Mus musculus: one gene and its partner. The protein of the gene in region 2 purifies or fractionates together with the protein of the main gene of each other region. This does not show direct contact. Links are inferred from orthologs where the notes say so. Each region holds a gene or a part of one and is shown on either strand. Other genes may lie near its edges.

Evidence for each region.
Region 1: the proteins of Cnot6l (region 2) and Tnks1bp1 purify together in Homo sapiens (affinity purification with mass spectrometry; 4 studies listed by BioGRID and IntAct, with this or other methods). This does not show direct contact. The link is inferred for Mus musculus from reciprocal best matches to the Homo sapiens genes CNOT6L and TNKS1BP1.

What each region holds. Positions count from the first base shown.
Region 1 is NC_000068.7:85,063,034-85,074,248, reverse strand, and holds the end of Tnks1bp1 (182 kDa tankyrase-1-binding protein), read right to left. Parts: coding exon 10,233-11,215; intron 4,262-10,232; coding exon 3,892-4,261; intron 3,643-3,891; coding exon 3,492-3,642; intron 3,377-3,491; coding exon 3,240-3,376; intron 2,544-3,239; coding exon 2,386-2,543; intron 2,154-2,385; coding exon 2,093-2,153; 3' UTR 2,081-2,092; intron 1,653-2,080; 3' UTR 1,201-1,652; downstream 1-1,200.
Region 2 is NC_000071.6:96,070,649-96,082,319, forward strand, and holds part of Cnot6l (CCR4-NOT transcription complex subunit 6-like), read right to left. Parts: intron 9,488-11,671; coding exon 9,285-9,487; intron 6,745-9,284; coding exon 6,532-6,744; 3' UTR 1-6,531. UniProt on the Homo sapiens protein: Has 3'-5' poly(A) exoribonuclease activity for synthetic poly(A) RNA substrate.

The DNA of each region.
Region 1 (11,215 bases), on a different chromosome or scaffold from region 2:
TGTCTGCTTCTCCCTTTGGACTGGGAATGCCCAGCTCTTGACTGTCCTGTAAGTGTAGTCAGGACACCTATAAAATGTCTGGTTCCATGGGTTCACAGCTGGAAAGCAATGCACCCCAGGATAAACAGCACCTCGTACTGTTATCCATGGCTGATTAAGTGATACTGAGAAAAGACCTCGGATGGCTGGAATGTGGGTCTGGAGTGCCTGTCACTGGACTGTTGCAATCCTAACCTCAAGTGGACGATAGGAGGAATAATGGGTCTCTTCTGGGAAGTGACGGAGAGTAGAGACATCATCCATGAGATCAGTAGATGATCAAAGGCCTGGAGCTGCTTGGTCACTTCCACTGTGTGCAGACACAGTGCAAAAGGAACTGTTTGTACACCATGAATTAACTTCTCACCAGCCATGGAATCTGACAGCACTGTGATTTGACATCCCAGCTGACAAATCGATCAGAAATAAATTCCCATTTCTAAGCCACTCAGCCTATTGGATTTGGGATTATAGCAGCCCAAAGTGATATAAGACTGTCCCTGCTCCCTCCTCTGAATGCTTGGCAGGTCACCCCACTACCAACTCATACAGGGCTGTACCATAAACAAGAAATAAATATTTTTGTGTCAAACTACTGAGATGGGGTAGTGGTGTTTAAATTGGAATACCCTCCTGCAGAGACACTAGGCTCAGAGAATGGAAGGGGAGTGACGTGTCTAACAGACATCTGAGTGAGTTCCTGGCAGCTGGAGTATGCTTGCTAAGTCCATTGGACCAAGACGAGCCTAGGTTAGCAGCACACATCTCTGTGGTCTAAGGAGGCATTTCCAGAAAGGGAAGATTCAGCCTGAATGTCCCCGATACTACCCAACAGCCTGAGGAGCAGGTAGAATAAAAGCAAGAAGAAACCCACTAGCCCCAAAACGAAAGGTTTCTCTGCTTCCCAGATACCATATTGTCTCTGCTCTGTTCTAGCCTGCCCTCTAACCCCTACACCCCACCCCCAGCCCTGATGGAGTGAAGCCATGTCGTTCTTCCATTGAGGTGTTTAAATAGTTTGTCACAGGGAGGAAAAGCTAAGCTCACACAGCGGGGAAGTAGCATTCTCCAAATGCTGCCCCACAGTGGGGGAATACGAGTCACACACACACACACACACACACACACACACACACACACACACACACCACAATCCTGGACAACCCCAATTCCCAAAAAACTTTATTCATTGTTTCAAGTGGTAAAATGTCATTGGTCTCTGTGGGGCACCTAGTGGGGCAGAGGGAGACCTGGGGTGGGGCTTGGGGTGGGAGCCCACCCATTACAAAAATCAAAGGCTTTTATAAAAATGCTATAAATTGGTATCAAAAGAAAACCCAAGGGAGGCAGAAGATGGAAGCAAAGAGGGTAAAGGGAAGAGACTGAGGGAAGGACAAGACCTCCCACCACTGGGCACGGGAATCCAGTTGGGGGCTGAAGGGGTGCAAGAAGTTGGGACGGTGATACAAAGTGCATAAATGTGCCTCCCAGACACTCCTCAGAAGTGGAGGGGAAAGGAGGCTGCAGTCTGAGCCCTGGTGGGGCTCCAGCTGTCTCCTCACTTGGGGACCCCACAGGAATGGCACTGCCTGAGACTGCCAGATGGGAAGGACCTGCATTGGGTGGAATAGAGGACAAAGGTCAGAGAAGAGATGAGGCCCCTGCTTCCTCTGCCCTCTGGACATCCTGATTCCCTCATGAGAGCCCAGTGCTGAGGAGGTCCCTGCTAGGACCTCAGGTTAGAAGCTCTAAGCTGCACAGTCTAGCTCAACACATAGGGGCAACCACAGCACCTGAAAGACTGTCCAACACATAGGATACAGGCCGGTATGGAAGCCCCTCCCCCTCTTCAGAGCCAGGATAAACACCAGCCTTGGGAATAAACTTAGAGGAGCCAAGGGACCTAACCAGGTCTCCCTTGTCTCCTCCAACCTCTCACAGAAAGAGGGGACCTAAGGGCTAGAAGAGAGCACAGGACAGGGCCTCCCAAGTTCTCCATACCAGGCGCTACTCTCCCCCAAGCCCAGAAGCACAGCCTCACCTTGGCCCCTGATCAGATCTTTTTCTTTTTTAGCTTCAGGGCTTGCAGCCAGTTGGGCGACGATCCTTCTGACCTGGAAGGCAGAGTACAAAGGTCACAAAAGCAAAGTTTAAAGAAACTGAACAAGGTGAGAACAGCTACCCTCCAATCAAAAGAGGCAGTCGGGTTCAGTTGCAGGTCTGGGTGCCCCTACGTAACATGAAGCAATTAATTTCAGTTTTCCACCTCTATAAAATAGGTTTCCTCTTCTGAGGATAATACCCGAACCACAGGAAATAAAAAAAGTACCTAGAAGTGTTACTTACCCTGAGGATTTTTCTGGCTTTGGGGGTAATGTAAGGGGCTTCCCTAGCCCTGGGACCTTGCAGGACTTAGAACGCTGGACGGAAGACTCTTTCTGGCTTGATTTGCTCTCTGTCACCTCCCCCTCCTCAGCTGAGCGGTTCCGGGAGCGTAGCTTGGCCTAGGAGACACAGATGAAATATAAACAGGCAGCAAGATTCAGAAGACCAGGCCTTTCCCAAGAGTGTGCAGTCCCCTGAGCCAGGCCTGAACCTTCTACAGACAGCCAAAGATCTGTCTCCCTCAGAGCAGATCCTCACAGCCTGAACACATCAGAAAGATGACAGATGAACAAAATTCAGTGAACAAGGCTGAACAAAGAGGGGTGACTTCTCACACCTATGTTTTTACTTGTCTGTTCCTACCGCAGAGCCAACTCCTGTGCCTACCTCAAGGTTAGGAGAAACTGCTTACAAGAAACCCTACCCAAGCCACCTCCCGTTCCCAGCCACGGTCAGGAAGTAACTCCTTCTACTGAACAGGCCAGGCCATGGCTGTACTCCCCCCTTTATTCCTACATTTCGCCCTTCACCTAAGCTACTCCTGGGTGTAGACTATGCCCACCCTTCAACCCCCACCCATTACCCTGGAGGCCCTGAGATGAAAGAACACCCTGTTCTTTCTTCCATCAAACTTGGCACACTGCATAGAGTCGAGCAAGGAACAAGGTAACCTTCCAGAACCCACAATGAGAGTAGAGATGAGAAAAGGGACTATAAGGTGCATGGCTGTATGGATGGCTGGTTGGTTGGAAATGCTGGGTAGAAGGCTGGCAGGCCAGATGGCTGGGTGTGTGTGCTGAATGATCAGACGGTACCTTCAAGGCTGATGGGCTCAGGCCAGGAAAGAGGTTGACTTTCAGCCCTTTAGTGCCCAAGGACATCCGTGTCCGGCGGCTCTGAGGCTCCTCTACAACCTCCTCATCTGAAGATGGCACCCGGGAGGCCCTTGGCTCTGCAAACGTTAGGGAACGTGAATCGAGACCTGAGCAACATGCCAGACACCACCCTTACCCACACACAAGCCAGACACTGACACAGACTCCATTCAATTAACACACTGATCGTACCGGTTGAATCTTGGAACAGCCGAGTATCCGAGTCTGCTGTCTCTGACAGTCCCAGGGTACCCCCAGGCCGGATGGCTGGGGCCCGGTGCCCCCGCTTACGTCCTAGGTTGGCACGACTCCGATACATGGCACTATCAAGGATCTCAGTGTCCTGCTCAAAACAATAGCAACAGCATTGCTATTGCTGACCCGGAGCCCTACATCACCCCAGAGGAGCATCTCAACATAAACCAGGAGCTGATTGATGGCTGCTGCAGTTTCTTGTTGCCATGAGATACCCCACAGCCTATGTCTGTCTCCCATGACTGCTCAGGAAAGCTCTGAGAATGGGGCTTTGTCACCCACATACCCTGACCCCTCCAACAGCCCGTCCACCACGGCCAGCTCACCCTCCACTGACCTCTATAAAAGAGAAGTCCTCACTGGGGCAGCTGGGCAGAAGTCCTCGGGGAGGCCGCCGGGGGGGCGGGGCTGATGCCTGCTCATTTTGCCTAGCCGCCCCCGTAAGACTCCACGTGCCATCCACCTCTTCTACCTGGCTGGCTTCGCCATCAGGCTGAGGCCTCGAGGATGGCAAAGGAGCTCTGCTAGGCTCCTGGGGCTCCCCTTGGCCGGCACCTGCAGCGAGTCCTTCCTCCTCCAACAGAACCCGGGAGCCGGAAGCTGCTGATTCCCTCTGAGGAGCTCCCTTAGAGCTGCTGGCTGTCATTATCCCCTCCAAAAGGCTCTGGGAGCCAGAAGGTGGCGAGCGAGTCAGACAACTGCTGGGGCTGAAAAAGGGACAGGCCAGAAACCAGAGTCATTCACCTACCTGTGAGACCTCATTTCTCTTCCCTGAAGCATACAGCATACAAAGAAATGGCTGAGCTGCTTGGTAGCTTGCAGGGTCCCAGTCCAGGTTTTTTTCACATGCTACAGGCTGGGCAGCTTTTATCAAAATGCTTTGGGTCTACTTATAGAGTCTGGACTTTTCCAAGTTTTAAAATACTTGCACATGCATAGAACAAGATCCCTTTGTGTGTCGGTGCATGTGAACCTGTATGCTGAAGCCAAAGAACACACACCCTCCTCTCCTCGTGTGTGCCTCTACCATGTGAGTCCCTTAGATGAAACTTGGATCGTTAACACTGACAGACAGAAAGAACTTTTGCCGGCCCTGCTCTCTTTTCTTTTGACAGGATCTCTCAGTGGCCTGGGACTGAGGTAAGCTAAGTGGGCAGGCCAGGGAGTCTCAGGAACCTTCTCCTCTTCGCCTCCCCAGCGCTGGGAGACTACCACACTACCACGTCTAGCCTTTTTCCTGGGTTCCAGGGGCCAAACTCAAGTCTGTAAGTGCTTTCCTGGCTGAGCTGTCTCCCTAGCCCCTGGAGGAGCTACCTGGAAAACAAAACCCAAACCAAATCTCATATCTACCTTGTACAGACTCACCCGCCACTGGAGCCGGGTGTGCCTTTCTATGTGACACCATGCTGTGCTCAGAAAGTTTCAGATCGTATGGAGCTAAAGGGGTGACAGGACCAGCTAACAACCATTTCTAATTCTAGTTCCAGGAGACCTGACACCCTCTTCTGGTTCCCACAGACAATGCATGCACACATGATACCCAGATATACATGCAAGCGAACCACCCACACACATGAAATTTAAAAATATGTGAATCTGAAGAAATGTGTTTTAAAGTTTCAGATTTGGGGTTTTGGATTTTTGAGTTAGGAACAGTACCTGTACCTGAGCCCTTGTGTGATTCCCTTTGCCTGTGAATACCCAGTGTTCCTCTACAGAGCCATTAGTGAGAGAAAAATAAAAGCCTACGCCTGTCAGCATAGCATCCAGCACTCAGGACATTCCCAGAAATAGCATTTATTACTGCTGCCCTAAGTTACTGCTGTTCAAGATCCACTCAGGAGCACATGCCTGGATGATCACATTTTCTGGGATAAGCCAAGAAGGGGCCCATCTGCTCTCTCCCCAAGCTTACACAACCCTTCAGCCCTGAGAGCCGTGAGCCCTAACCTACAGCTCTGACTGCTTTCAATCCTGTGTGTTTGTCTTTATTGCCTGTCTGGGGGCTCCTCAAGGGTTTGTCTTTGTGCCCCCAGCATCTCTGCCCCATAGATGAGACCACACAAATGATGAGAAGGCAGGGTCACCTTGGACTTCAGCACAGCAGTGTGCCTTCTATCCAATGTTCTCTCAGAGCAAGCATAAATACCAGGATGGTATCACCCACACCATGTCCAGCTGCCACTCCCTAAAACATGCTCACTCATCAAACACCTAGGATAGGGTGGGTGGGTGCTGGTACTCGCCACACCTACATGCACAGCCCAGGGCAACACCCTAACACAAGCAGGAGTAGTAAAGGCTAGCGGGCAAGGCCTGGAAGCCAGGCTGCTGAGTAGCTGGCGATACTGCAGAAGGTAGAGAATCAGGTGAGTCAGTCTTTACCAGGAAGATGAGACAGGGACAGGGAGAAATGTGTCAGTCTGTCCTCCCATAAGCTGCTGACAGATGGAAATTAAAGCAGCATGGGAGGGAGAGAGGGAAGGAGGAGGTGACAGAGGCTATACGGTACAGCAAGACGAAGGACTTGAGAGCAAATCTGGATGGGAGCCAAAGCCAGCTCACCCTGAAGCCAGCTTAGAGTCAGGGAGGTGACTCTAACCAGACGGCAGCAATGGTACCCCACCCAGCCCAGACAACAAGGCAGGCCGCTGGGAGGACGTGAACCAACTAAGAAAGAAAGATCTACTCTCAGCCCACTGTGGGCAGAAAGGAGTAAGGAACTGTCAAGTGGGCTCTAAGGGTGGGCGGAATACGGAGTCCTGGGGAATGGGGTGCACACCCACCCAAGGGCCTCTGCCTTCTGCATCTGAGAAGCGTCCCTCGCTGGGAGCCCAGGTCATCCACAACCTAAGGGCTTCCTGGCAGGACAGGAAGGACAAGAATCTGGGTGCTGAGCCTGCTAAGCCTACAGAGACATAGGCTCTGTCCTGCAGCCACAGCAGCCTCGGCCCCAAGTTACATGCCCTGTCCAAGCCTCTGCTTCGTCATCTGGTAAATGGGAGCCATAAAAGTCCCAGAACTTTACTGGGCTTCCCAGCAGGAATGTGTGCCCATGACAAAGTTGATACTTGATAGATACAAATTGCTACCATGGTCCTTGTCATTCTGGACAGAGGTTCCTCGCCTGAGAAGACGCTTTACCTAAACCTTCCACATGAACCACCCAACGTGGCTACCACCCAAACTGTCCAACACTACTCTCCACCACTGTTTCGGATGCAAATTCAGGGGAGAGATCTGCAACTCGCCCTGGTGTTTCCGGCTCTAAGACTTGGAATGAGGAAGCATCAGTTCCAGGGGCTGGGATGATGCATCTGAAGGGACAAAGATACCACAGAGGAACATGGAGGGGACTCAGAAAGTTAGGGCCCACACGGACAGAGAGGCACTCACAATCACAAGCAGTGGGAACTTGTGTAAACCACACTCTCCCTCTGCGCCTCGGTTTCTCCATCCCTGAAATGCGGTAGCCAGACTGAATGACCTTTGAGTCTTCCTAGAACCTACAAAGATTTCAAACTGGCTGGGAAGGGTTTGTATTGTGGGGTCCAAAGGGCAGGAGCAAGGAATGACCAAGAGACCAGAAAATAAGGATCCTGCACAGCTCTGGCAGCCCCAGAAGTGCCACTCTCTCCAGGATGAGATGGCCCTAGATCAGGCTGAAGCGCACCCCCACACCATGCTAGTTTATCATAGTTATTCCTGCCAGCAGTCTGACCAAATGACTGCCATCCACAGTGTATTTGTTCAACATGAGGGCAGCAACAAAAATATCCCCAAGGGGCCTCCCTTTCTGGACACTTCACATCCACACTTGCAAAACAGATAAAAATACAGGAGACTAGTTTTTTTGGGTTTCTGTTTTTGGTTTGTTTGGTTGTTTGTCTAAGCAATTAGGCCAGGAGAGGCAGGGTCGATCACTTTACACGTGTAAACCTTCTTCATGCAAACTCCAAGAGTGCCTGGAGTAAATTCTCAGTTTACCTATGACGATATGGGTCCTGAGGTTGAGAAGGCCAAAGGCACCCTGAGGAGAAAAGGCAGTGCTTCAGGTTACTCACCTGAGGTCACAGAGGTGGGTAGAGAGTCAGGACTACCACATGGGCTCCAAGCCAGACTACTCTGACCCATTCTCAAGGGTTTCCTGATACAAAGGAAATCGCCAAATTTTTCTTGAAAGGTAAGCACTCCATGGTGTATTTATTTCCCCACATTAGACGCTCATAGCACCAGCTCACCAGACATTAGTCAGGTAAGTCTGGAAAACTTTGCTCAACTTCAAGTCCTAGATATTAGACACTGAGTCACGTGCATGGCCACAGAGCACACAGCTCTCTCCAAACATGGTACTGTGTCAGAAAGGACATGTATCAGAAACACAGCATACACCCAAACAGTGATTTCCTTCCAGCTGTGGATGAAACATGTTTTCTGTTATATACAATGAGATTCAGGTGCTCGTGCCTGGGATAAATTCTAAGCTCAGATGACCATGTAGCTGTGTCCAAAAACACATGGCTGCTTAGTGGGAGCCTCCAGAAGCCTCATCATCAAAGCCATCTTCAAGCTGCCACTGTCCTGTTAAGCCTGCAGGGAGCCTCCTCCATCCATCCTGAACAGAGAAGAGAATGCTGCTCTCCCTCTTCAAGAACCAACCCCAGTGGGGCAGCCGGCAGACCCCCACTCCTTAGAAATCTGCTTTGAATAGTGGCCACACCTGAAAGCGGTTATGAGAGGGAGTCGGAAGGTGGAGGACACCTCAAGAACCTGACAGAGACTTGAGATGCCCAAGAATCAGTAGGGGAGCCTCTACCACCTTAAGATGGTCACACCATCTCTCAACTTCACAAGAGGCCAGGATCAAAGTCCCTCTCCTGCCACATGGGGCAGCCATGAAGATCCGGGCAGTAAAATGCACCGCTGAACACTCAGGCAGAGAGGGCTGAGTCCCAGGAAGAAAACCGAGGACACAGAACCTGTGTTCCCTTCTGCCAGGACTGTTGCTGCTGGAACCCTGAGCCTCCCACAGACACTGGTAAAACAGAAGCTCAGAGTCCAACAACCAGTCCAGGCGCACAGGAACACACACCCCCTCTCGCCCCCACCATTTAGATCTGCAAATTCCCAGCCCCTACTGACAGCCATTGCAACCTCAGCCACTCCCTGTCCCCTACCCCTCCTCTCAACCCGATGAGTGGTCTGAGAACACCCTGCCTCAGCTCCCTTCCTAACCCTGAGCTCTCTTCCTCTTCCACCTCCATGCCAAATGCCTCTCTCAGTCCCCACCCGGAGCCTCCCAGTCCCTTCCTGGTCCCTCCTGCTCTCCTCCCACTGCCATCTGCCCTTCCACTTAGAACAGCCCCCACCCAACACCTCCCTCTCCTTCCCTTCCCACATGGAAGCTCCCACTCTGGGCCTGAGAAAGGTAAAGCGTTCTCCACACTGAAGAGAAGAAAACCGAATCCCAAGGCATGAAAATGCTAACGGACGAGAAGCAGTGCCTTTCCGGAAGTACCCTTTTCACAAGCTATGGAAACCATGTGGGTTGGTTTTAGAACAGCCATGAGACAGACTGGTTGGTTCTTACCAGCCTGCCTCCCACGTGGCATGCCTTTAATCCCAGCACTCAGCAAGCAGAAGCAAGCCGATCTCTCTGAACTTGAGGCCAGCATGGCCTACCTAGAGTGTCTCGAGGTCAGCCAGGGCAAAGAAAAGAAAAAGGGTTGGGGGTCAAGGTCACAGGGCAGGGACTTGGTTCTCAACAACTTCAGATTCCTCGGCCACTGCTCTTCTGGGTACTACGACAAGAGCAGGCGAGATTCCTGAGTTCCCAAACCGTTGATCAGACGAGCAGAGTCACCGTCCACTATAACATAGGCTTCGGTAACCTGGGCTTCCACAGGGTTCCTTCCACTACCTGTGCAAGCATTCCAGGAGCTCATTTTCCATCAGAGCTTGAAGCCGACAGAGCTCAGCAGAAACCATACTAGGAAGATACATCACTTGGTGACGTGCTTCCCTTGCAAGAGTGAACACTTGAGCACAGTCCCCAGATCCCACGGTGTCTTCTCTTTGCTTTGCTTTGCTTTGCGGGAGTAAAAAAGGCCAGACACAGTGGTATATGCTTATAATACCAGCATTGGGGAGGCAGAAGCCAGGTGACCCGCCTGGGGCTCCTTGGCCTGCCAACCTAGCCTACTTGGCAAGTTTCAGAGTAGTGAGACAATGTGTCCCCAAAAAGATAAGACAGTGACAGAGATGACAGCAGAGGTAGTGTCATTCCACAGGCACAGAAGCTTGTAAATATGTGCCTGCACACACACAAACTCTCAGAGAGAGAGAGAGAGAGAGAGAGAAAGAGAGAGTGTTAGCTCACCAGAAACCAAAGATGTAGCAGGTTCTACTTCCCTAGACAGCCATAACTCACGCATTGAGAAAGCCCAAAATGGTGCCTCAAATTTTACATTCATCTTCTAAAATAGAATGCATTTAACTTTTGTGTTTCAAAGTTCATCATAAAATATAAAACGTGGAACTGAACAGTCACGGCCCTAAAGGACTCTGTTTTCCAAACACTAGAGTCCACTGAGAGAGCTGGGTTTCCCTCCTCAGAGAGGCCCCTTATTTAAAGAACAGTCACACCTTCCCTCCCAGCTCCAAGATGGAGAACCGTACCTGGCTCCCAAGCTGGGTGCTTCTCCCGTATCCATTCCAGTGTCTTCAGAAGGAGTCTCAAAGGAAGGTGACGAGCTGTCTTCACCCTGTGTCTCTGGCCCACTTATTTCACCAACCCCCAGCTCCCTGGCTTCCAACGGGTCTTCAGTCTCCAAACCAGGGGACAAGCTACCACTACTCTTGGGATCTAGCTCTAGGTCAGGGCCCACTCTCCCCACCCCACATTCCCTAACTTCACTTGGGGCCCCACAGAGCCTAAGGTTCCGGAGTCCCAAGTCTTGGGCCCAGTCCATTTGCCCAACTCCACAGCCCCGAGAGCCTCCCGACTCTAGGTCACAGGACACCTCCAAATTCCTCAGGCCTAGATCGTCACCCCAGTCTACCTGACCCACCCCAAGTTCCCTGGGCTCTCCAGGGCTGCAGCCTGCTCCTGGGGCCATGTTTCTCAATCCAAGATCAGGTGTCCAATCTGCCTGTCCAACTCCACGCTCTCTTGACTTAAGGAACTCTCCGGCCTCTGCCCCTGACCAGTCGGGCTCCCCCACACCACTCTCTCTGGCCTGGCTGTGCCTTCCTACCTCTGCCTGCCCTGGCAAATCTCTGTTCCTCGCCTCCACGCTGGAAGTCCAGTCCTTTTCCCCAACTCCCAGGCTCCTGGGCTCCTCAGACTCTCCAGTTCCTAAACGCCTGGCCAGATCTCCATTGTTCAAGCCCAGGCTGTCTGACCAGCCCATCTGTCCTACAACATTCTCTCTAGCCTCGCTTGGGCCTTCAGAACTCACACAGCTAGACACCTCCAAGTTCCTGAGACCTAGCTGGTCAGTCCAATCCACAGCCCCGGCCTTTGTCTCTCCGGGAGGCACAAAGTGGCCACCTCCACTCTTCCTGGAAGGGCTGAGGCCAGCACCACTCACTCTGTCATTGCCGATGATGCCAAACTGATAGCTACTCTCAGAGGCCTCCACACACACGTCCCTGCTCCA
Region 2 (11,671 bases):
GAAAACATCTCAGCTGAGCAGTTCGGTCAAGATCCAGACCTTATCAACTGTGTAATAAATAGAAAAATAAAGCAGCTGGTGATTTTATCAGAGAGAATGAGAATAGAACCATCTTCTCCAGAGATGACAAGAAAGAGTTAAATGTTTAGAATATCACAGAACCAGTCTATCAAACATTAATTAGTAAGCTACAATTACATGGCACTTCATTAAATCACCTAAGAAAAGAAGAAAGGAAAGCTTAAGATTGTAAGTGATTATCAGAACACAAGTTGATTTAGTGCTTGGCTTTTTCTTAGGGGGAAAAATAAATACACAACCTAAAACAGTAGAATCTGCTTAGAACAGTATTAATAGAAATGATCAAGTATTCACGGAGAGAACTACTGAAACATCTTGCTTAGTCTTAGGGTCATGTGCTTTGCTTTTTGTATAGTTAGTTACAAAAACACTATATAGGCCACAGAATGACTCAAGTGTACGCAAAACAATAAATTAATCATCTTAATGCCAGGAAACAAAAATAAATAATCTCTTCCCTAATCAAATGGTTAAAAAGTCCATGGACAATTACTTGGCACTTATATAGTTGAAAACTAGATACGATTTAATCTCTGGTCAATATAATCAAACATCCTGGCCTTTTCAAAGAAAGCAAAAGGGTATATTTTATCTTTAGAAAACAAAAACACAAGGGGGGTGGAGAAAGGGCTACCCCACTTCAGATACAACAGAGTTAATCATTTGTCCTCCTTGAGATACTCAAAGTACTCCTATTGAACCCAACACACCTCAGCTTCTTTTGGATGAAAGTACTGCTTGCATTTGGACAACTAACTTTACAAATGCCCGTAGTGCACTTCTCAGTGCTGCTGGTGTTTAAGAAATCTGCCACTCACAACACTGAACAATTCCAGATCCAGTGTGTAGTAACAGCCATCCAAACCCCTCCTCTCTCAAAGGTCAGCAGAGCACCGCTCAGGAATTACACAGGTAAGGGAATTTACTTTTAGCAAGTTAAGCACAGAGAAAGGACAGTAGTTTCTGAATAAAGAGCAACCCACACACTGCAACACTTACCGCATTAAAGTTGAAACAGTAAGCAGGACACTAAGTCTGTACCATAAGAAGCAGAGCCATTGTTTGGCACACCAGTATTGAGCCTATAGTCTGAGTTCAAGTAACTACACACACAAATTAAACAACGTGGTACACAGAACAATAATAGCTAAGAAAATATGTGAGTCCTCTGAAATCGTGAGCAAGGGTCACCTTCCAGAGGGATGCTACCATGATTTTCCAAGGGACAGATAAACGGAAAACAAACAAATGCAGGGATCCCGCTGAAGAAAATAACCAGGAACACATGTCATCCTGAAAGGTGCATCATGCCACCGCTCCAGGCGTCATGGCTTCTGATGGCACACTTCTAATTTCAGTTCAGTGCTATCTGTTTTATAGGCTGCACCATAAAAGTCAACATTTAATAGGCACGCCCTTAATTCATATCCTTTGAAAATTAGCTTATCTTACTAAATAAAGAGTACTTTCAGTCTGTCCTTTGGATCCAAAAGTAAATCAAATCTAGAATAAATCAAGTTAACCAAACTTATGCCAAAATTACTGGGTTAATAAAACTTCCCCTGGAATCTGCTTCTTCCTCCAGGCCTTTTACCTGAGACGTCGACACGAATGCCTTTGGTCAGAACAAGCATACATGCTCTTCCGTATCCTCTTCCTGAGCAGGCTCCCACCCTTCTGCTTCCCTTCCTAGTTTTCTTTCTGTGGCTCTTGCTCAGAACACATAAGGGTTTTCTTTTATCGTTTTAAGCATTCAGGTGACAATTATGAAAGATGCTCTTGGCACCCTATTCTTAAACTTTGGTAAATAAGCAGGTTAAAGATGTACTATCATTTACTTGTGTTTGAATTTTAAATTTGGGGATCATGGTGCATTTACAGAAATTAAAATCTTCCAGAACAATCATAAGCATAAATGTCCTCTGTCTACAAATTCAAAACTTCAGTTTAAGTTCCTGATTTAGAAAAATAAGTCTAATGTCTCTACCTAATCTATCTACTTCTAATACGCAAAAGTCATACAAATAGGATACAAACCAAATAAAAGTCGGTAAACAAATTTTTAACACATTAGAAAGGTGTTACTTTGGGTTTTATGGGTGGAGAGAAGAAGAAAACCTTACAAACACAACAGCTCACTTTTCAGTCAAAATGTTTGTTACTTAGAACATGTAACAAAGAATTCTTGCTTGCTACAGGACCATTACTGAAATACAATTTGTTTTCTGTGACTGAAGCTACGAACCAGTTAGTATACTTTGCAAAACTATTAAAATATTTCAAAAAACACAAGAATATAAAAGATGAAATTTTAAATCGGTATTAAGCCAACATCAAATTTTACCACTGGGGAATGTAGCCTGTGTTAGAGATGGCGCTCTCTAACCCCTTCCAGGCGCATACCTGACCTACCACTCCTGTGTGCTCCCCTTCCCTTTGCTATTCGCTATTGAGTATACAGGTGGTATTTGCGAGTTTTACTAATTCTTGGAAGTACAATACAGACTTAAAATTTCACCTATTGACAAGACATACTCAGGAGACAGAATTTTTAAACAGCACAATATTGTCCATGTTCTAGGTTTAATTGCCACACCCTCAATTTTAACATAATCTGCCACAGATTCAAGTGATATGAGTCTTGGATTTTAACTTTCTCCCTTCTCAGAGATTTATGACTTTAAGACAAAAAAAGGAGGGGGAGAAGGTAAGTTTCATAATTCTACAAACCATAACACTAAAACATAGTGGCTTTTAAAGTACATTCACACAGGATGCTTATTAGTAAAATTAAATATCTGCTTATGAATACCAGAAATGCAATTTGAAAAGAAAGAGATTAGAACAAGGCAAATGGGGGGGGGGTGCGGGGGGAAGCTGGTCTCAGAGCCCATTGTGCCATACCTGACTTTAACATGTGATATTCAAATGAATGTTCACACGCCTTACATCAAATAAATCAAACAAAAATATTCAGCTATGTAGTACAAAATTTTTTTTACATAAAACATCATAAATCTTGAACAGATTTACTGTATCTGAATTCTAAAAAGTTGCCTATAGAATGGTGCTGGGATTCTGTTCTCTGCTTGCTTTTAGGCAGTGCTGTTGCTTAAAAGTTGACACCAGGCACAATATTGTAAAACAAAGTCAACAAGCAAGGAGCAGTAAGTGATTTGAGCCTTTTCCAGATGTCAGTCCTGAGAATGCTGCAATATTCCCCATCAGAGTGTGTAAAGCTATGAGGATACTGATGCCTGACAGTGGGTGACGGGACATGCACTTGTATTACTTTTATAATGGCAAACAGTGCAGTTTCCCCTTCTTCAAACAACACCATTTTAATAAACTTAACACTCCAGTTCTTAAGACAATTACCAGAAATCATATTGAACATTTAAAAAAATACATAGCACAATCTAAAAATGCCCAAATTTTCTCTTATCAGATAAAATATGCAGCAGCCCAAAGGCATAAAGCTTATTAACTTATTCTGAGAACTAGAAAGTATATGAGTATATATATTTCACTTTTATCGAATATATATCACGTCATTCACCTTGTCCTTTGGGCTTCTCACTGCCAAAGTTCCAAATGGCATGCATTTAACAAGACAATGCTGAGGACAGCAGCATTTCTGATCATCTGAACTGGCAGCTCAAAACAAGATACCACTCCTTTTACAAAGGGAACGAGGGGAAACAGTGTGTTAAATTTGGGCAAGAGGCTAAAGGGAAACCGTGCACATGAAATTTGGGATACCATGCCCTAGGTGTGTGCCACCCAAAACAAAACACAATCACCTACTTCAACAGAGCTACTACCAACATTTACGAAAACCACATTAAAATACACAGGATAATGAATGGTTTGAAAGAGTGCATTTGGAAGCAGAGAGACCCAATTACACACCTTCTTGCAACAGAGTGCCTCGATCATACACAAAATAAACTTAAGCTGTTTACAATGTTTCCCATTTTTTTATTTTCCCCCTCTACATTTAACTATTAAAAAAGATTTGTATTAATAAATGGGCTCCTCTGTGGTTCATATACAATCATAAGTGAACTTTAAATTTCATTTTATACAAACATCTCAAAAATATTGGGAGTGAAGTATGGTAGGAAATATTGCTCACATTGCTAGTTAACATGCATCTATGAAAAAAAGAAGGATGTTCTGTTAGTGCACATACCTCCAGAGAAGAAAGCCCACCCGAAACAGGAGAAAACTAAACAGACAGTAGCTGATTACAGAAAAAGGTAATGTCCACACAGTTAAGTTTTTCATGCTATTCTACTTTCCAGTACTATGCGTCAGGTAATCAATCTTCATGGCTAGATGTTGGATGCTTGAGGTATATAAGAAGGGATACCTGAACACTGAGGAAAATCTGTCATCAAGGGTTTCTTTTGTTTGTTTATTCAGGTACTTTAACATTTTTAAAAGAATATTTTATTTACATCAAACTTTGCTGAACTACAATGACATTCCAATTACAATAGATGACAACGCCTCTGTCACTAGGCACTTTTTAAAGGGAGTTTAGGCTTTACAGAGCTCTTCTGGATGCAATCCTGCGTGATATTACATCACCCCACCACCCTCATCCCACTAAAATTACCCTTCGGGAAATATTCTTTTATATAGCCTGATCAGTAAACTATGGAAGAAATTAGTATAAAATGACCACAGGAAATGTATCATTTAAGACTAATAAAACAGCCTAAGAGGTCAGGTTTGGAAGAGGAGACAATTTGTATATATTTAAAGCTAATTAAATAATTTAAATTTGACTTGTACTTTATATATTAGTGAGACACAAATATAGGTTATTTTCTTTTTAAATTTCATCACATAATGGAAAATTTCTTGTTTATTAAAAATATCACATTTTGATACTAGAAACAGTAAAGTGCATGAAAAGTTTACAATATAAATTTCAGAAAACTCTTATAGCAGCAAAAAAGCAGAATAAAGAAAAACTTAAAAACACAGACACAACCTTTTCCAATGTTACTGTGCCATAATTAACATTTTCTAATTTTGCCAACTAATTTTCTCCCCACAAATGGTGTTTATGCTCTCTGCCTCTTACGTAAGATTCTCAAGTGGCACCTCCTGGCCAACAATAAATGGTGGTGGTGGTGGTGTTTCCCAATACATATAGAGGCATCAAACTTTGGGAATAAAACAGTAGCTTAATTCAAATCTAGACAGTATGGCAACGAAGATTAAAAGCATATGATGGCCATTTGGCAGCTAGAGTCAGAAAAAAGTGATCCAAGGTTTTCAATTATGTCCCCAAATCTGTCCTTTCCTCTAAATCATCTCTACTGTTACCTTAAAATGAAACAAAAAAAACCAAAACAACAAACAAACAGCCATTTTACTTACTTTGGAAAACACGTATAATATTATCTGGCTTGCCCTTTCTGAAACTGACCAGGGGCTTTTCATTCAGCAATTTTCCTTAAGTGTTAAACTGTAGTGGTAAAGATATAGATCATATTTTTCCAGTACAACCGGACAGAAAATAAAAGTTTGGGCACGAAAATGAAAAATACCAGACACTAATTTTGTGGGCATCCTAAAAATACCAAATTTTACTTTCAAGATATATGGCAGTATTATCTGCTATTTCCTTATAAATGAACTTGAGAGATGGGCTTAAAGTTAATACTTCTAAAGAGATTAGGACTAACAGGCAGACAAGAAAAGAAAAAAGAGAAAAGAGAAAGGGAAAAGGAAAAGGAAAAAAGAAGAGAAGAGAAAAGATTCCTCAAACAAAACAACCAGCATTTGGCCAACAAACTGTCACATACTATGCTTGATTTTAAAGCATGTTATGCAATTGTCTTTCATTTCCCGAATTGTCTTGTTATAGCTAGTGGCTATATCAAATTTAATGTACAAATCAAGCAAATTTAAGTGCTTTGATAATGTGCAAATGACTTGAGAGCCAAAAATCAGCTTGTTATGAAAGAAAACAGAAACTCAAAGTTTTTCCTATAAGGCATACCATCATTCAATTGAAAATCTTGTATTTGGAGTTTTTTTTTTTTTTTTAAATCACCTTTTACAAAAATGATTGGCTTATTTGAAAACATTCAAAAGAATGTATTTGTTTTTAGAGAACAACAATGGTGTGGGGTCTCAAATTAGTGATTTATCAATCGTGAATGTTGGTTCCTAATATAATAGGAAAATAAATCCAATTTTAAAGTGTATTAAACTTTTGGATAGAGACAGACAGCAATACTTTGGTTCCAGCCCTAGTGCCAAATGATATCAGTATGCACAAAAATATACAGTCTTATAGCAAACACATAGTGAAAGGAACCTGAAGAAGCAGCGTTAAAGATGGCCATACTTCACTCCTACATACTTTGATTTACAACTGTACAGGTCCATAGCGACAGATCCCCGTCTCTGCGGGGCTGTACTCCACTACCTCCGATTAGGCAAGTGAACACCATTGACAAGAGGCAGGAGTGGAGGGTGGAGTTCAAGTTGTGTTAACAGTGAGAAGTGGTCTGAAGGGATGTGAGGGTGTGGACACCCAGTGATGTTGTTCTCAACCAGCCATTGAGGATCTAAAGGCCCCAGGACACCAAGCACGTTCATATGAGTCTTGGAATAGAAAATGTAGTCAATCACACCCTGGAAAGAGATTAGGGAGAACACAAGGGGAAAGGAAAATATGTTTAAAAAGAGAAAAACTCCATGAAAAGAACAATTTTTTCTTTGGAAAAATCTAAATAAGAAAACCTGTAATTCCCGATACCTGTTACTCTGACTGTAGATTCAACAAGGCTCTAATGTTTGATGGGTTATTATATGAATAAACGTGGCTCAATAAAGAAACACAGCATCTTACTGCATCAAAAAGTTTTACATTTGTACATAAATTATAAAACAAAAATGCTAAACACACAAATGTATGTCTAGGCACCTCTAAAAGACTTTCTTGGTTTAGTAAAGTCTAACATACTATACAGTTAACTGTCTAAATTTATTTACTTCAAAATATTCATTTCTACAAGTTCTGGACTGAAGCAAAATATCCATTAGCAGGAAGAGACATGCACATGCAGACACATACTTGTATTATAACATTTATTCTATTTCCCAGAGCTAGATGATTTAATTTATGGGATTAGTAAATAGCAAAACTAATGTGCCTTCACTAATCCAAGCTGCATAGACTTCACTTAACCTAGTATTTAACTATAGCAAAGAGCCCATACTCAAGCAGAAAGAAGTATTTCTACATGTGAAATTTATTCATTTATTCATTTAATGTAACAAGGCCTTGCTATGTAATCCAGCTAGGCTTGACTTCAAGACCCTCACCCTATCACATGCTGAGATTACAGGTATGTGCTATAACACCTGATGCATTGAAGATATGTTAAAGAAATAGTGATTTTAGACCAGCTCAGAAAATCAAGGCTTAAACTAATATGCCAATTTTTTTTCTAATAGTTTATGGACAAGTTAAAAAGTAAGAATCTAAAAAGTATGGAAAAAGTAATATTTTCTCTTAACCTACTGTATACTAAGACAATAATAACAGCTAGTTACTGAACACGTATTTTGGAGAGCTTTTATTAGTTCTTCTGGGTTATGTTTGCAATATTATATATTATAATTATAAACATAGGATTTAAACTATATATCACTAAGTTAAGTTCAGAAGTATTTCTTTCAACTTCTACAAAATACTAGAGCTGGTGATTTCTAACTTGAACAATACCTTTCGCAACAATGTGAACAAACGTATCACATCAGATCGGACAAGCACATAATCCACAGAAAACACTACCAATCAAGGCTTATTTACCCCAGAGAGCTAGTTAAATGCTTAACTGTGCATCACCATGTATGAGTGACCAAAACAATGCAAGCTATAAGCGGATAGATTTATGTACTAGTAAAACTATATTAACTTCTAAGCAGTTTTTGTCCCATTTCTATTAAAGCTGACTAATATCAAAACACAAATCTTTCTTCCTCCTGTCTTGGTTTCAAAAGAATAAAAAAATGAAAAAAGGAGGCTGGCACGGTGGTTTCAACCTTTAATCCCAGCACACAGGTGGCAAAGGGAGTTAATTTCTATGATTTTGAAGCCAGCCTGGTCTACATAGTCAGTTCCTGGTCAGCCAGGGTTACCCAGAGAAACCCAGTCTCAAAAAATAAAACAGAACAAAAAAGGAAAAAGGTTATTGAAAATGTGAATGAGCCTATTTAATATTTCCCTTTTGTATTATATTATAAATTCTCTAAGCTTTGTATACTAAACAACTTCCTCTATATATGTATTTTTTAGGATAGAACAAGATATACAACTCATTCTGAAAATGACAGAAAGTCAAATAGAGGTAAAGGCAATAGCTACAAGTAGACAAAATGATCAGGAAATAAACAAAAGGGGAGTAACCACAATGAGCCGTTGCCATCAGTTCATCAAGGAACATCTTGTTCTGAACATGAACAGCAGGACTTCCTTTTCTTTTAAAAATTGAAGTGTTCCATGGATGACATGGGAATATACTAATGCAACTACAGAGATAAGACTGACATTAAGTACAATCTCTAACTCTACTCCTACAGGAAACTTGGGAAATCATAAGATAAATAAGATATTCAAAGAAAACTTTTGACAGAATAGTGTATGTTCATTCCAGGGAAGCTTAGCTATATCAGGTGCTAAAATTCTTGCTAAGCACAGGTGGTAATAAACAGGTAAAGACTGATTGAATGTCAACAGTGATACATAGTAAAAAAGTTTTAGAACTATGAGCTATTATCACTATTATCTGAAATGTCAACAAATAAAAGTTTAAAAAAAGAATTTAAATGACATCAATTGTGATCATGAAGCCCAACAAAGTTCCTTGTTTAGTTGTATATTTAAGCCAGACACTAAACTAGTTTGTATTTGTTTGCTTGTTTTTGATTCGATGCTAATTCTTCTTTTATTTCTGTATTTTGCCTGCATGTATGTCTGTGAAACATTTGCTTGCCTGGTCTGGCAGAGGCCAGAGCCCTGCAGACTCTTTAGCCAATCCTACAGACATGTGCCGCCACCACCACCACCACCGGCAGCCCTGAAAACTCTTCATCATCAGGGTTTACTTTTCTATGTGCATGCTTTTATTTGAAATAGTTCAGATGCTAGTCCACAGACTGCTACTTACTTTGAAATCAAAGGTGTAATTGGTATAAGGCATCAAGTTATTTTCATAGGCGCTCTTAAGTTGGAAGCCATGTGTGATTCTCCCTTCTGAGCTTCCATTCTTTCCACTACAGCTGAAGTTCATAAGACACTCATTGTACCTTAGTTCCTTGAAGTCTTTATGGTTGTCAGCTACTCCACCGTTGCTTAAATATTCCACAACACCTAGCAGAATAAAGAACACTACCCTTTAATGTTTACAGCAAAGCTGTATTACTAAATCTTATTCTATAGACACACGATGGTTAGAGTTTGCTTAAATCCTATAAAATTCTTAGCTGGGCTTGGTGGTACATGTTTTTAATCCTAGCACCCAGGAAGCAGAAAGGCAGGCTGTTTTCTCTAAGGTCCAGGACAGCTTGGTCTACACAGGAAACTCCAGGCAAGCCAGGGCTCTGTAAAGAGATCCCGTCTCAAAAACAAAACAAATAAAATAATGGGTTCTTGTTGCTGGTGTTTAAATTCTTAAACACTAGCAATTTCATATAACTTAACATCACTAAAAGGCATTTGCCTACTTCAGAAAAAGTATCAGGATCACTAGGAATACTGTTAACCTTAGTAGTTCTTTAGGTTCAGATGACTTCTAGAATCTAGAGAGCATTCACCAGAAAGGTCTTGACATTAACTGCTTTGGTAATATTACTCTAAACTACTATGTCTTTAGCAGTACTCAAAATAGTCAATCAACAACATAGGAAAATATAAAAAAATAAAAAAACACTTATAATAAAAAATTATTTGCAATAAAAACAGGTTTTTCATCCTCAACAATGCAATGTCCAAGGTTAGCTTAGAAAAATCTTTATTTTCTAATTCTTATCTTACTATTTTATGTAGATGAGTGTTTTAGTTGCAAGTCTGTCTCCACAGGTTAGAAGAGGGTTATCAGGTTCCCTAGTACCTGAATTACTGATTACAGATGGTTGTGAGCCACTATGTGGGTGCTAGGAATCAAACCCCATCCCTCTAGGAAAACAGCCATGATCTTAACCATTGAGCCATCTCTCCAACCCTCATTTATTTTGAGTTAACTAAGTCTCAGTCTGACACCTATGAAAAACATTTTATACCAGAGACCAAAAATATTAGATGTGTATAAAAAGTTGATAGTGGTATCAGCTTCAAGTTTCCACCAAATTAGCAAACAAAACTCTCTCTCCCCTTTTATAATTACTTTGCAATAATGTTAAATTCATCTATTAACAATTAAGGATGACAAAATATGAAGGAAAATGAGTATCAGTGTCGTGAATAACTCAAAAGGAACCACAATTTATCTAGCATTTATGATATGCTAGGCATACAAACAATTTAATGAGACCAATAATACGTTTATCCCCTTATCCATAATGAATAACATGTATAGCTGCTAAGAAATAATCAGGGTCCAACCCTAACAGTGTGATTTGAGCCAATGAGCTATGCTATGGTAACAGTGATATTAATAGCTATCATAAATGGTTTTAGGAAATCATGTGAAATAATACAACAAAAACTTGTACTTTTAGAGAAACTTAAATGATTATTTTTTGTAGAGAATTAAGAAAGAGGGATGTGGGATGAAGAGACAACTCGGTCAGTAAAGTGACTATCATACAAGCATGAGCATGATGCTCATGTCCAAGCCTCGGAACCAGAGAAAAAAAGAGTCAATTATAGTGGAGAGCTCTTGTAATACCAGCACTGGGGGTGTACAGCAGACAATCCCTGGGGCTCATTGGCCAACTAGGTAGGCCTAGCCTACTTGGTGATCCCTAGACTGGCAGGGACCCAATCTGACAAACAAGGAATGACACCTGAGGAACACACAAGGCTGACTTCTATTGAGTGGGTGAGCATACACACATGCACATACCACAATGTATCCGTGCACATACACATGGGATTGGGAGGGGCAAACTGGCCTAGAGATCAAAACCAAGTATTTGCAAAAATCTCATCATTTACTTACTACGAACAGATATTTTCTAAATTCAGTGACTATTTACAATTTCCAAATATGGGTATTTTATATTTGTACTATTGATGGCTAGGAATGCTTGCCTAACATGCAATAAGCTTGGATTTGATTCCTGGTAAGGATTAACAGCTTATTAATAATATGTAATATTTGGAATATGTTTTGCTAATAATACAGACTTACATTCTTTTGTTTTGCATTTGAAATTCAGGATCTAAAATGGAGAACTAAGTTTTACAAAGATGATATCCAGACATAAAGTAGTCCAGTGGTGTGATATACCACCTTGCTAGAACTGTGATCATTCTTCTAAAACTAGTAGTAAGTATATAAAGATCACAGAGAACCTGCCAATATTATTAAGTGAGACAGCTATCTGTGATGAA